Cricetulus griseus: one gene and its partner. The protein of the gene in region 2 purifies or fractionates together with the protein of the main gene of each other region. This does not show direct contact. Links are inferred from orthologs where the notes say so. Each region holds a gene or a part of one and is shown on either strand. Other genes may lie near its edges. The genes, in order: Ptpn6 and myeloid cell surface antigen CD33.

The links.
Region 1: the proteins of myeloid cell surface antigen CD33 (region 2) and Ptpn6 purify together in Homo sapiens (co-immunoprecipitation; 4 studies listed by BioGRID and IntAct, with this or other methods). This does not show direct contact. The link is inferred for Cricetulus griseus from reciprocal best matches to the Homo sapiens genes CD33 and PTPN6.

The regions. Positions count from the first base shown.
Region 1 is NC_048601.1:21,684,287-21,688,056, reverse strand, and holds the end of Ptpn6 (tyrosine-protein phosphatase non-receptor type 6), read right to left. Parts: intron 2,356-3,770; coding exon 2,288-2,355; intron 2,193-2,287; coding exon 2,041-2,192; intron 1,946-2,040; coding exon 1,854-1,945; intron 1,307-1,853; coding exon 1,192-1,306; 3' UTR 1,164-1,191; intron 985-1,163; 3' UTR 789-984; downstream 1-788. UniProt on the Homo sapiens protein: Tyrosine phosphatase enzyme that plays important roles in controlling immune signaling pathways and fundamental physiological processes such as hematopoiesis.
Region 2 is NC_048596.1:141,867,989-141,872,386, forward strand, and holds the start of myeloid cell surface antigen CD33, read right to left. Parts: upstream 2,928-4,398; coding exon 2,483-2,927; intron 2,299-2,482; coding exon 2,020-2,298; intron 1-2,019. UniProt on the Homo sapiens protein: Sialic-acid-binding immunoglobulin-like lectin (Siglec) that plays a role in mediating cell-cell interactions and in maintaining immune cells in a resting state.

The DNA of each region.
Region 1 (3,770 bases), on a different chromosome or scaffold from region 2:
CCCAAAAAAACATCGTGTGCTTCGGGAACTGTAGATCTGGGGAGGCTGGGCTAGATCAGTCCCTCCTAAAAAATCTTCCTAGTTGTTGGATCTAGCAACCAACAGCAGGTTGTATGGCAAATCTTTCTGGGGTGGACCCTGCTGAGTCTGGACGATAATGAGAACATGGACTCTGAAGGCCAGTGGTCCTGGAATGTTGAACAAGTTAATTTGATCTCCCTGTGTCTCAGTTTTCTCCACTGTAAAAGCAGGAAAATAAAGAGTACCCAGACTGAGAGCCAGGAGTATAGCTCAGGGAGAGAGCTGTTCACTACCTGGCATGAGGGAGGGCCTGAGCGTTGTCCCCAGTACCACAAAAAAATAAATAAAACAGAAACTAAAGTACCTAGGATTAATTAATTCTATAGTCTTTTAAATAGTGCCTGGGCCCATTGCCAGTGTGGAATGTAGCAGTGGCCATTGTTATTGGCACTCGCCGTATTGCCGTATCTTCACTCATGAGCTAACGAGGGCAGATGAATCCAGACCACCCTCTGCTGTAGAGACTGGAGAACTTGCCAAGCACATAGGAGGCCTAGGTTCTATCCCCAGCATGAGTGAGAGAGGGAGAACACAGAGCAGTCTAACTAAGCCTTAGGAATGCCACAGGCTGCTGTGTGAAGCAGCATCCAGAACCAGGTCTCTCTGAGCCACAAAGTTGAGCTTCTATGCAATCACACATAACATCCCGGTCCCACCCTGCCCAGAGTCCCAGGATACATGGGACACACAGAGTTGGAGGCAACACACAGTGGTCCAGGGGCTTTATTTACAAGAATAGAAGTCTGGCTTTGCCTGAAGACTTGCTGGGCTATATACAGGTTCAGAGGACCACAGCCATTTAAATACATGAGGATGGGGTGGTCCTAAGGTCTGGTGTGTGGGGGCCACAGGTCTTGATCTGCCCAGTGGAGGCCTCTGCAGGGATTGAGGCTGATGCTGATGCTGCAGATAAAAGAGAAAAAGTGGGTCAGAGGGTATCTGGGGCCTGGAGAGAGGGCACGAGAAGATCTGGGGACATCCTGGCAGGGTAGCATTAGATTGTGACCTCCCCACAGCATGTCAGAACTGCTGTGGGAGCAACTGGGGCAGGGAGAGAGAAGACTACGCAGAAGGGGCCTCACCATGGCCACCTGCAGTCGAAGGCCCAGCTCACTTCCTCTTGAGGGACCCTTTGCTCTTCTCCTTATCTGCTGACCGCTGCTTCTTCACTTTCTCTTCCTTCTTGTTCTTGCTGTGCACGTTTTCATACACCTCCTCCTTGTGTCTGGGAGGTGAGGGAGGAGGGGAGAAGACATTCAGAGACTCTGCAGACCCTCCACACTCCCTCTCACTCAGTGAAGCCAGGAAAGCTTAGATAACCTGCTCACTGTCCATTCACTAGACCCAAAGCTCCCAGGACACAGACTACACTCACGCATGTGTCCACAGCTGGGCCATAGCATGGGCCCACACAGAGTAACAACGCACACTTCAGAAAATACTTAAGAGGGCTGGAGAGATGGCTCAGAGGTTAAGAGCACTGGCTGCTCTTCCAGAGGTCCTGAGTTCAATTCCCAGCAACCACATGGTGGCTCACTACCATCTGTAATGGGGTCTGATGCCCTCTTCTGGCCTGCAGATAGAGCACTAATATACATAAAATAAATAATTAAAAAAAAAAAAAGAAAATACTTAAGAACAGAGGTACTAGGAAGAAGGTTGACCTCGAACCAGGGTCTCTCCAACTTCCACACTGGTCCACTCCAGAAAGGACAGTTAAGGCTAGGCAGGAGAAGGGAGAAGATGTTGTGAGGGCAAGCAGGACCACTCACTTGGAAGAGGTACGGGAGGCCTTGGCGTGGGCACTCTTCATAGCGGGAGGGTAGGTGATATTCCCATACTCCGACTCCTGGCCCTTCCGGGACTGTGGGCAAAGGTGTGGTGGGAGGATGGTAGTACCAGCACGACTGGGTGATGCCCACTCTCCCCTACCACCCATCAGCCCCACTCTGCACACACTTGTATGATCTCCAGTTTCTTCTTGGTCGTTTCAATGAACTGGGCAATGGCCACATAAATGAACTTGTACTGTGCCTCTGTCTGCACCATGCCAGAGCGCTGTGCCCGTACCATCTGGATGGTCTTCTGGATGTCAATGTCACAGTCTAGCCCTGGACAAGGGTGGCAGTGGGACTTCAGGGTAGGCGAAGGTCAAGGGACTGCTTGCCCCTCCCCCACACCCACTCTCGTTCCCCAGGATCCTCACCCTTGGTGGAAATACTCTCCATGAGCATGTCAATGACAATGATGGTGCCTGTTCGGCCAATGCCAGCACTGCAGAGAGAAGGCACCGCCATCAGAGGCCCAGCTCTGCCCAGGAAATGGGGAGGCCAGGGGTTAACCCCAGCACTAGGTAAGGTGTGAAGAATCCAAAGCTCCAGCCACAAGGGTCGGTAATGTACCCAGGTCATTAGGCCAGCGAAGCAGGTGTATGCCCGTCTCTGCTCCCATTCCTCTGCCCCAGTCACAGGATGGACAAGCAGGTGCCAGTTTCCGGGCTAGAGATATCATTTCCCTCCTTCGCAGCATTTGTCCCCAACTTTCTGTTCCCACCCTTCACTCTTCCTAACTGACGGCTATCCTCATCCCTTGGAAAAACAGAACTCCACACCATGCCATTGTCCTGCCTGCTCCTCAGGGCATTCCAACCTTCAAGAGTTACATTCGGAGTGGGGCATTGGTGGTGCACACCTTTAATCCCAGCACTCGGGAGGCAGAAGCAGGTGGATCCACCGAGTTTGAGACCAACCTGGTCTACAGGGTGAGTTCCAGAACAGCCAAGGCTACAACAACACAGTGAAATCCTGTCTCAAAAAACAAAAAAAAGAGTTCCATTTGGAACTAGGCATGGTGGCATATGATTTTAATTCCTGCACTCAGGAGGCCAGCCCAGTCTACACAGAAAGACACAAACAAATTACATTTTGGATGAGTGTGGTGGCTCGGTGGCCATCATGCAAGCAAGCCTGAGAACCTGGTATCAGATCCCCAGTGTACACAAAAAGGCCAGGCACAGTGGCCATATAATCCCATTACTAGGAGGTTAGGTTAGCTCATTGGCCAGCCAGCCAAACTGAAGTGATAAGCTCCAGGTTCAGTGAGAGACCCTATCTCAAAAAATAATGTGGAGAGCCTGGTGTGTTAATGCCAGTACTGAGGATGCAGACAGAAGTTGACTGTGAGTTTGAGGCCTACTTGGTCTACCTAGCAAGCTCTAGGCCACTGAGCCACATAGAATGAGAGACACATACACTATAGACAGACAGACAGACAGACAGATACAAGTATAGATATATAGATAGGAGAGACCATATAAAAACACTAGGACCTCTGGCCTCCACAGAAATGCCCACACATGTACACACACCACACACAGACACACACACACATAGTTACATTTTACTTAGGGTATGCCTCGGTGGTAAAGCATGTGTTTCACATGCTTAAGAACCTGGGGTCCTATCCCTAGAAACACACACACACACACACACACACACACACACACACACACACACTATACACGGGGTGGGGGGGCATTTGTCCTTTCTTTTTTTTTTTTTTTTTTTTTTTGGTTTTTCGAGACAGGGTTTCTCTGGCTTTGGAGCCTATCCTGGCAGTCGCTCTGGAGACCAGGCTGGCCTCGAACTCACAGAGATCCTCTGTGAGTTCTCTGCCTCCCGAGTGCTGGG
Region 2 (4,398 bases):
AGGGGGCATATTTGCATATTGTGGTAATGGGCTGTTGTCAAGCACATAAAAAGAACTCTTTAAAAATTTTATGTTTTTATTTGCCTGTGTGTATGTATTGGCACACATGAGTGCCTGGTGTTCTCTGAAGTCAAAGGAGGCTGTCAGATCCCCTAGAACTGGAGTTACAGACAGCTATGAACCACCATGTGGGTGATAGGAACTGAGCCCATGTGGTCTGAAAGAGAAGCCAATGCTCTCAACCACTGAGCCATCTCTCCAGCCTCCAGAAAAGAACTCTTACAGCTTGAAATTACAAAGAACTCAAATGCCTTTAATCTCAGCCCCTAGGACAGAGGCAGATTTCATATTTATCTCTATCTCTGTCTATGTCTCTATCTCTGTCTCTATTGCTCTCTCTCTCTCTCTCTCTCTCTCTCTCTCTCTCTCTCTCTCTCTCTCTCTCTCTCTGACTTGAGGCCAGCCTGGTAACATAGTGAGGCCCTTCCTCAAAAAAATAGAGTATGAAGGTCTGAAGGTCTGAACACTCCAGCTCATAACTGTTATAGGATTTTTAACTAGTACTTTTCAGAAAATAATGGCCAAGAAGAGACAAGGTTGCTCAATGGCCTGTGACTCACCTGGTTAACATCTAGCTAACAATCTGGTTAAGCCAGATTGAATGACCAGTGAGCCTGACGTCATCTCCCCAGCAGTGGAATTATAAGCACATGCCACAATACCAACTCCCTTCCTCCCTCTCTCCCTCTGTCCCTCCATTCCTCACTCCTTTCCCCCTTCTTCCCTCCCAGCTTCTGTATGTGTGTGTGTCTGAAATGTGGGTTTTGGGAATTGAACTCAGTTCCTGCAAGGCAAGCCCTTTACTCACTGAGCTATCTCCCTGTCCCTACATTTTCTTTGTCTTTATGTCTGGTCAAAGTGCATAAATAAGCAATACCAAACTTCTCCTGATATTGATGAATACGCAAAAGATTCCCAGGGACAGGGGGTGGGTCATTGCTCATCCTAGGATCAGTCCACAGGACCCAAATGAAAACAAACAAAAAGGGTTTGCTCCACCTGACTTGGTGGAAGTATACACTCTCCTAGCTCCCTGCTGGGAATGTTCTGCTGTTCGGCAGCCATGAAGAAACACTTGGTCATCATTCTTTGTATTAGAAAGACACCAGATCCAGATGCAATTTGTATTGGGGAATTAGTAATTCAGACAGATAGAAAGACTGACAGACAGATTGACAGACATACATACAAAACTACTCACCACACATTGCTTTTGGCAGAGTGATATCAATGAGATGGCTGCCCAATAGTATAAAATGTCCACAGAACTGGATCCAACCAGTGTGAACCAGAGTCATGGAGAACAGAAACCATTAGGCTACTGATATCCTGAGTCCTCTCAGGCTACATGTGGACAAACAATAGATTAGCACTGTGTGTACTCATTGGTCTGTCCTGAGAAGGGGACTAACTTCTGTGAATGTTTACCCATAACGCTGTGTCTCCTGCATGCACCATAAGATCCAAGCTGACATACACAAGTGTTAGAGTGTGTGATTCTGTTTTGTGAATGCTGGCCTATCCCTGTAATGACCCTAGAGTGCCCCAGAAGCCCAAAAGGATCAAGGAATAGGTGGGGACAGGTGCTGTGACACTTGAATGTACTGTGGATGAGAAAGGTCATTAGTTTTCTAAGAAGGGGGTTTTTGAGTTCAGGATAAGGAAGGACGAACCTTGCTCTAAGCTACAGAGATCCTGTTCCTGCAACACAAGATGACTCCCCCTACCTGGGCCAGCTCCTCTAGTGGCGTGGGTTGCGGTATTCTGTGCAGTATCTTGGAAAAACAAAAACAGAAAACAAAACAAAAAACTTGACATCTCAGGTTTCAGCACCATTCCCCACAACTGTCCAGAAAGCGTAGAATTCGAGAGGTATGGGGACTGTGTCTATCTTAGTCCCCAATCCAACTATGATCCATCACACAGTCACCATGAACCCCAGCACTGGGTTGAACTCACAGGTGACATTGATCTGGACAGCCTTTTGAACAGTTACACCAGCTCCAGGGAAGGTCACTTGACAGACGAGGTTAGTGCCATGGTCCTGTAGCCTAGGTGTGAGGGTCAGAACTGAAGAAAGGGTGGTCCTAGGGCCCAGGGATGTGAGGGCAGCTGACATCCAGGAAAAGATGGGAGGTGTCCCCTTTTCACAGGCCCAGGGCACAGAACATGTCACGTTGCTAGGATGGCCAAGCTCCAGAGTCTGTGGGATGTCGATGTTGGGGGTGTGATTGAGGGCTGGTGAGGAGAAAAAGATGCAGGATCAGGACAGGGGAGAAGTACAGCCACTGAGAAGCCCAGGTTTGGATCCAGCTCCTCCATTACCCTACTCCATCCCCAGTGACTCTCAGGCTATGACCCCAGCCCTGCTTTGTGGCATCCATGAGCTTCCTCTGTGGTCAACATGGAACCAGTACTTTACCTGTCACATTCAGAAAGAGCTGATCTTTGTAGTAATTCCACTTAAAGGTATCACTTTCCGTTCTGAAGAAGTAATAACCGCTGTCACTCCTCTGTGCATCTCTGATGTCCAGTGAGCAGTCATTGATCCTTGGGTCCCCAAAGAGATGGAATTGGCTGTGAGTCTCCTGCATTGTTTTGTCTGGGTTGTTTGTAGCCACTGGAAAATCAAGGTCTGTATTCGATCCTGCACGGAACCAGTAGCCGAAGACGGTGGTGTTAAAACTTGGGTTCTTGAAAAGACTAAAGAATGTGCAGGGCACGAAGACACACAGACCCTCCTGCACTGTCACAAGTGTGGACTGCAATTCCACCTTGAATGTCTCATACATAAACATGGACTCTGCATGGAGAAGAAAGTAGTTTTCAGATGCCCACCCACACACCCAGAGCAGTAGCAACAGCATCCCTGCCCAAGGCCTGGGCTCCTGTGAGTGAGCAAAGAGAGGACTCCAGCAGGCAAAGCTTTATAGGAACTGGGAAAGCTGCAGAGAATCAAGAGCTTTCAACTCACAGAAGAGGAACCAAGGACTGCAGGTGGCCTGAGTCTTCCTGTCTGCAGAGAACATAGGAAAACCCAGCAACCAGATGTCAAAGAGACCTGAGCGACCCAGGCAGAGAGGAACAGAGAAGGAGGACTGTGAAGATAGCTCAGTCTGCAAAGTGTTGATTGAACAAACACAAGGACCTAAATTCAGATTCACAGCACGTACAAAAATATGGGCATGACAGTGCATGTCCGTAAATCCCAGTGTTGGGGAGGAAGAGACAGGAGGATCCCTAGAGTTTGTCAACCAGCCATTCTACCTGACTTTGTTATCTCCAGATTCAGTGAGAGACTCTCAAAAAACGAGGTTTAGAAACTGGAGAGATGCCTCAGTGGTTTAAAGCACTTATTGCTCTTGCAGTAGACCCATGTTCAATTCCCAGGACCAATTTGGTGTCCCACAGCCATCCACAACTCCAAGGAATTTGACATCCTCTTCTGACCTGCACTAGGCATGCAGGTGGTGCATACATATACATCCAGGCAAAACACGCATAAACATAAAATAAAATAATAAATCTTCAAAAAAATTGATGAGGCAGAGAATAGTTGAGGAGGACACCTGACATATGCACACACATGCACACAGGAAGGAAGGAAGGAAGGAAAAAGGATGGATGGAGAGAGAGAGAGAGGGAGGGAGGAAGGAAGTAAAGAAGTAAGGAAAAAAGGGAGAGAGGGCACTAGGGAGGGAAGGAAGGAGGGAATAAAGGAAGGAAGGGAGGAGTAGAGAAGGTTAGAGAGCAAGTTGTGAGGGACTTCCCTACAGCACCGGGGTTGATCCAGACAGAGGGGTGACTCTAAGACCTTTCCTTAGTCTAAGGCCTCTCCTTAGGAGGAAGATCTCAGATGAAATGAAGCCAGACTCTGTTGAGTTTGCCCACTCATTTTTCCAGGAAGTATACAGTGAGCTTTGGACTTTGCAGAACTAGACACAAGAAGGGAAACTTGTGTCTACCCCCCCACCCCACCCCAGCGCCACCTGCCTTGCAGGAGTCTCAGCCTCTCCATACACTGGTGCTGCTGTCTTCAAAGCTGCTGGCACTGGCGAGCTCTCCACCTGCCATGGAGGTATATATTTGTAAAGCATGAACTGGGAATTGTTTCTCTCAAATCTAATGGACTAATTCCCAAGGTGCCAATGACAGTAGCACCGTCAACGTGACACAATAAGAGAACATGAGTTCTCAACAGTACAGGATAAACAGCTTCTCATGGTGTGGTGTGGTGTGGTGTGGTGTGGATAACAGCCACGGCTAAGTCCTCACCTTGAACATCAGCACTTGCTTCAAATCTCAGATCTGTATCTCCCAGTTAGATGTCCATCAGAA